2 linked regions of the Tribolium castaneum genome follow. The protein of the gene in region 1 purifies or fractionates together with the protein of each later gene. This does not show direct contact. Links are inferred from orthologs where the notes say so. Each region holds a gene or a part of one and is shown in the gene's direction. Other genes may lie near its edges. The genes, in order: pix and protein LTO1 homolog.

Region 1 (4,028 bases):
TGGGACAAAATCAAGTAATTTGAAATGTATTTTTGTGTTTTTATCGAAATGTTAATGTTAATCAAGAATTGAAATTTGTTCTATTTTACTACAAAGTAAAATAAAAAAAGTTTATTATTATCAGAATTCGTCAATAAATTAAGCCAACATTATAATAAAAAAAGAGCAATAAGATGGTTACTGAAAAAAAATTAAACATTAAAAATGAAGAGTTTTACGAATTAATTATTGATAATTTTAAGTTAAAACAAGAGCCACTTTATTTCCAAAAGTCCACTACAAGGCTAAAGATTTTATTTTTCTCTTGTAATTTCACTTGTAATTGGTTGTTTATATCTTTAACACCCGTTACATTACTCCATTCATTTCGCCCTAGGGCACAATAAGCGGGCGTTGTGTTATGATAACGCCCGCTGTTATCAAGGCTAATAAGTAGTAAATAATTTTAAAGTAAAAATTATATCATTATATGAACCTCTAGCATAACTCAATGTTTATAATTTACAAATCTCGAGCCGAAGGCCCTTGGATTTGTCTGTTGCCTTTATGCCTTTAGTACAAAAATAACTACCTACACTACCAATTATTTTCTTTTTAACACTTATTGTTGATGGGAAATAATGTTGAATTAAATAAAGCACAGATCGCATATTAAAAGACTTTCTTCCATAGGAAATATAGACCCGGAGTAGTCTTCAAAAATAATAATTGGTGAAAGGTATAAGGCTAGAAATAACATAAATATGAAATATTATTTTGATTTTGTTATGCATATTTTCTTCTCAAATGACAATCCAGTATGAAAATAAAATGTCTTTTGACAAAAACTAAATTTAAGTGAGGTGGTTGTAATTCCTTGTTTGCAGTCTAGACCAAAAAAAATTGTTCTATGGTAGGTTGCTATTCAGAAAAATTGATCACAAAATTGAACTTAAAAACGAAAAAAATATAAAAAAATATAAAATATAAAATAAAACGATCACATTTTTACAGTACCGCTTAAAAACTATGACATACCTAATTTTAATTCTTACATTTCCGTATGTCCACACGACTGTTGTTCACTTGCACAATACAAATGTTCATTTAATTTTTGAAAAAACTAATCGAAGAATGTACAGTAGGTATACTATAAAATAGTAAAAAAAATTTTTTTCTCTTATAGGTAGTAATAATGTTGCTTATTCATAGATACGAGTAGACGTAGTACACCTTTCTTCTACAAGTGGTTACTATGGCACATTATTTCATTTAGTTGTGGTCTGTTTTTTAAGACAATTGTGTGTCAAAATCGGGTATAAAAGTAGATCATATAGCTTTAAAAAGCAAAATTGGTAAATTAGATTAGATTTCGTCAATTAAAGCCATACAACAAAAATTCTATAGAATAAAGTAGTCATTTGGTGATTTTTTTATTCTGACGGTGAAAAAATCTAACAAAAATTTCTCGATATACCTATAACAGAAAATTTTTGTTTCTAATAAGTTATGCTTAATAAATAAGTAGCAACCTATCTTCAAACAATTTTTCTTCACAAAGACTGCAATCACAGGATGATTACCACCTCAACTGAATTAATTTTTTGTCAAAAAAAAAGTTGATATTGGAATAATTAGAATTAGAGTTAGGTATGACAAAATTTCGGCGGTATTTGGTATTTTCAATTAAAAAAACCGCCGACCGACCTATATTTATATCATACCGCTTTGACTAATTTAATTTATTTAAATTTAATTCCGATTTTCAGCGGCTTTTTCATACGTCCGCATATAAAGCCGCCAGACGGCGGTCTTTTTAGTATTAACTAAGAGTACTGCCGGTGGTCGTTTAGCCAGTGCCTAGAATAAATTGTAATTTCCGCGCCATCTGTTAGTTTTGGAACACACTGTATCTTGTTTTCATTTATCCTTAAGGAATTTAAAAAGGTAATTAATTTTAACTTTTTCTTTTTTTCTTCAGATTTATAATTGTCGTGGAACACGATCTCAGCGTCTTAGATTATTTATCAGATTTCATTTGTTGTTTGTATGGTGTTCCTGGAGCGTATGGTGTGGTTACTATGCCATTCTCCGTTCGTGAAGGTAAAAAAAACTAAAAAAAAATGACTCCCAAACGTAATTATAATTTCTGTCTCAAAGGAATTAATATATTTTTGGACGGTTTTGTTCCAACCGAAAATCTGCGTTTCCGTGACGAATCTTTAGTGTTCAAAGTGGCTGAATCTGCCAATGAAGAGGAAATAAAACGTATGAACCATTACGAGTACCCTTCGATGACTAAAACCATGGGAAATTTCCAACTAAACGTGGTCAAAGGCCAATTTTCCGATTCCGAAATTTTGGTTTTACTCGGCGAAAACGGCACCGGTAAAACAACATTCATTCGAATGTTGGCCGGCAATTTACAAGCCGATGATGGTTCCGGGGAATTACCACAACTTCATATCAGTTACAAGCCGCAAAAGATCAGTCCGAAATCTCAGGGATTAGTCCGACAATTGTTACACGAGAAAATCAGGGACGCTTACATCCACCCACAGGTATTATTTTGTTGCGTTATTTTGTGTGGTCTTTGATACCATCTTGTAATTTAGTTTATGGCTGACGTCACTAAGCCGCTTAAAATCGACGATATTATCGACCAAGAGGTGCAAAATCTGTCTGGTGGTGAGTTGCAACGTGTGGCTCTAACTCTGTGTTTGGGCAAACCAGCTGATGTCTACCTTATCGACGAACCCAGTGCCTACTTAGATTCCGAGCAGCGTCTCATGGCTGCTAAAGTAATCAAAAGGTTTGCATTCACCAAAAAATGTAGTTTTTGGATGTGTGATTTTTTTCTTCTAGATTTATTTTGCATGCGAAGAAGACAGGTTTTGTGGTAGAACACGACTTCATCATGGCTACTTACCTGGCAGACCGCGTGATTGTATTTGAGGGTACGCCATCTGTTAAGACCACAGCCAACTCGCCACAGACTCTTCTAGCTGGAATGAACCGATTTTTGGAGTTGTTAGGGATTACATTTAGGCGGGATCCTAATAATTTTAGACCCAGAATAAACAAGCAAGAGTCTGTTAAGGATGTTGAGCAGAAACGGTCAGGACAGTATTTCTTTTTGGAGGATTAAATTTTGTTATGAAATATTGTGTATTATATGGCGCTCTTTACAGGTTTCTGTTTTTATAAACAAATATAATATATGTGGAAGGATAATAAACGGATTATTATCATTATGTGTTTGTGTTTACTTCTCATTAAAACTCTAATAACATGAATATTGATGTTGGACGTGTCATTCTAATCGGGTTTAATGAGTCACTGAAATAAAATTTAGACCTTGGTTGCACTTAAATACAGACTTAAATAATAAATGACACATTAATTTTTTATTTTATGTCAAAATCTTAACAAAAGTGGTAATTTTTGATTTCATCGATCGTGGATGTTACAATTTTTTTTAAAGGAATGAAATAGTTTTTGAAGAACTAAGCTCAAAGATACTATTTTTTATCAATTTTCGTTGATAAAGTTTTAGGCTGTCCCGTAAATTGAAATTTATCCTCCGACTAAAACGCTCTATCCCGGAAACTATAAACAATCGGAAAAAGCACGTTGAGTTATTTTGCATTCTTTTGAGCTTTACTATCAGCCCTTAAAATATGTTCCAAACTATCAAATTCACCTGGTATGTGCCAAAAAAATTTCCCAGACAAGCCCTAACGGGATTCATTTGTCAACAAATGTCCAGCCGGAAATAAATACTTACTAGATATTCTACATTGTGTTCCAAAATGGTTGTTCATCAAGTTGCCTATGGAATTCAAATTCGATATGCCGCTTCGTCCGTCTTGTATAAAGACGGTAATGGTTAAGTTAATAGAATTAATAATTGCGACTTAACGTTATGTATACATGCCCTAATACTAATGTTATGATAGCTGATATACAGCCTGTTATAGAATGGTTTAGCAAAAATTTAAAGGTAAATATAGAAAGACAAAACGAATCTATTAAGTAAAATATTTCTA
Region 2 (2,761 bases), on another chromosome or scaffold:
TAGTTACATGTTGTAATCCTTTTGCAACGACTAAATGTTCGGTAGGAAAATCCAAAATCACGGTCACGTGAAACGCCATATTGGCCAACGCGATTATGTATTCGCAAAATGCAAACCAACTGAAAGCTTTACAAAAAAAATATTAATCCTGATTTAATCACACAGTAACTTACCCATAACGTGGCACAACAATCTATGTTTGAGAAAAAACGCAACAAGTCCCACCGTACTGACAAGTGACAGAATTAGGAGACTTTTTTTAATCAAAAGACCTCTTTGAACACGTTCGAGATCGTTATTCGTTTCCGCCACCCATCTTATACCCTTGATGCAGGCGAGCATGTGCATGAGGCTGCTCACCATAAAAATTATGAACAGTTTTTCATGAATTGCTACAATTATTTTTGATTATTAAAAAAACTGGCCACGGTGGAAACGTACGATAGTTTTCCCTGTTTGAAATGTACGTGACGCCGCACAGCGACCCAATTTCCAGAACATTCAGCCAGAAGGCGAAATTCAGCCACCACTTGGCCTTTTCGTGGTACTTCGAGGATGCATTGATGAGATTCAAGTGATAGGATTTGTGTACAGCGGCGATGATAAATCTTGGTCCAATGTGAAATGCAACGCTGATTCGCCACAAGTACCTCTGGGGGCTGATCCCCGTGATTGCGCTTATTGACGGTATGATATTATAAACCTGCAAAAATGCGTTTTTCCGGGGAATTCCCCAAGCTGAACTTACACGACAGTGGGTTTCGTGGATGTCGTCCGGTTGGAAAATGTAGGCAGTTACGAAACAGATAATAAGGGCTAAAAGGGGGCACGATACCGTCACTAAACAAAGGTGTTTGAAACTTAGCATGTAATGCACAATGAAGTTTTCCACGACTATATTTTCTTTGGTGGTGTTGGACTTCATTGTGGAAGAACAAGCGGAAGAGCTAATTCGCGGAGTCTAGAACTCGGAATGAGTTGAGCTTTTATTCATAAGGTTGGAAAGACATTCTAATTTTAGTTGTGGAAATAAATAAACACCGAGTTACCGAGGAAGAATTTTGACAAGTTGCCTGGTTTGAGGTTGGTTTTGGCGCCAACCGGGCAGGGTTTAAAGTTTTTCGTGCAACTCAACGGTACTGACTTTTTTAGACTTTTTGGTGATAATTTGCAATTGTGGCGTTTGAACGAACTTTATTTTAATGTTAGACGAACTCCATTTAGTGTTTTAAATGTGTAGTTAGATTTGGATAATAGGACTTGGATGTCATTTGGATCTACTTATCCTATACCCACGGGGACCTATTTTTTGTCTATTGCAGGGAAATTGTGCAAAATAAGTAAATATTTAGCTTAAAATGGGTTTTTAGGTGATTTTTGGTATGTTTAACGAGTGTTTTCCAGTTTAGTTTTTTACCATTGATTTTTTTGGAGGACTTGGTGGCCATGGTATTGCATACACAGCAGGGTTTAAAATCCTAACCTTTTTTTATGGTGCAATTTTTTGATTGAAACTTTGTGATTATTGTACCGATTTTTTGTAAATCTGCAATTATCATTTGTGTTACACACGTTTCGCAAGTTTTGTGCTTGATAAGCGTTATGCAAGACCATGACAGGTTAGTTTTTTGTCCACTTGAAAAAATGTTAATTTACATTTCCCCATCAGATGAGCCCGAAAAAGACATTAACGATGTTTTCTCCGACATTCTCCTGAGCGAGGACCGCATTTTCGAGCAAAGTTACAACCAAGGCTACGAATTAGGAAAAGGGGAAGAAAACATCGAAGCCTACCACTTGGGTTATCATCGTGGGGCCGAATTAGGTGCAGAAATCGGTTATTACACCAGTATTACGTCATATTATTTAAGCCATAAATCAGGTGACGAAAAAATCGTCAAAGAACTCGATACTTTGAAGGAAATGTTAAATTCTTTTCCCAGAGAAAATGACCCAAATGTTGATATATTAGAACTCATAGGCAAAATTCGAGCGAAATTCAAAAAAATCTGCGCGGTTTTGAAACTACAACCCTCTTTTCCCGAGTCTGACAAACTTTCGTTTTAATCATGTCTTCGGTGCACATTAGACAAACAATTGACAGTCTTTTGGCGTTTCTGGAACCATTGTTGGGTTTTGCCAACTGTCACATGGTAGATTTTTACACCCAGAATTCCTACAAAAAATTTGTATCTCCGGAAATTCAAAACGAAATCGAACAAATTGGTTACGAAAACACAATCAAGCGCATTTTCCTGAACGAGTTTGACGCGACCCCTCATTTGAAACAATTTGTCGAAGACAGCTCAAAATTTACGTTAAAAAACTGCCACGTGTGTCTCAATTTGGACTCTTTCACTCAAAAACTGCAATCGTGGGGCTGTGATACTTTAGATACGTTCAAACTCGAGATTTTCATGAATGCGAAAAAATCGCACGAGGTTGAGATTTTAAGCGCCGTGGCCGCGGCCCTATTCCGGGTCTCGCAAGCGTCTCATGTGGTGGATTTGGGCGATGGCAAGGGCTATCTAAGCTCGATGTTAGCCCTCCAACACCAAATCCCGGTCGTGGGAATAGACGCGTCCAACACTAACACTTGTGGGGCTATCAAGCGCGCCACCAAACTCTCCAAAGTGTGGAACGGCATCCCCAAGGCGCCCCACAAATCGCTCCCTAAAAAAACCGAAAATTTCGCCAGCCCCCACGTTGAACTTTACAAACAAGTCACGCGGTTTGTTGACGAAAGGTTCGACTTGTTGGG

The links.
Region 2: the proteins of pix (region 1) and protein LTO1 homolog purify together in Homo sapiens (affinity purification with mass spectrometry; 4 studies listed by BioGRID and IntAct, with this or other methods). This does not show direct contact. The link is inferred for Tribolium castaneum from reciprocal best matches to the Homo sapiens genes ABCE1 and LTO1.

The regions. Positions count from the first base shown.
Region 1 is NC_087394.1:21,654,708-21,658,735, forward strand, and holds the end of pix (protein Pixie), read left to right. Parts: intron 1-1,960; coding exon 1,961-2,082; intron 2,083-2,139; coding exon 2,140-2,540; intron 2,541-2,594; coding exon 2,595-2,791; intron 2,792-2,844; coding exon 2,845-3,127; 3' UTR 3,128-3,233; downstream 3,234-4,028. UniProt on the Homo sapiens protein: Nucleoside-triphosphatase (NTPase) involved in ribosome recycling by mediating ribosome disassembly. Able to hydrolyze ATP, GTP, UTP and CTP. Splits ribosomes into free 60S subunits and tRNA- and mRNA-bound 40S subunits.
Region 2 is NC_087397.1:2,016,158-2,018,918, reverse strand, and holds protein LTO1 homolog, read left to right. Parts: upstream 1-1,612; coding exon 1,613-1,619; intron 1,620-1,669; coding exon 1,670-2,067; downstream 2,068-2,761. Other genes in the region: post-GPI attachment to proteins factor 2-like, read right to left, coding at 1-126, 174-392, 442-703, 749-925; probable methyltransferase-like protein 25, read left to right, coding at 2,070-2,761. UniProt on the Homo sapiens protein: The complex LTO1:YAE1 functions as a target specific adapter that probably recruits apo-ABCE1 to the cytosolic iron-sulfur protein assembly (CIA) complex machinery. May be required for biogenesis of the large ribosomal subunit and initiation of translation.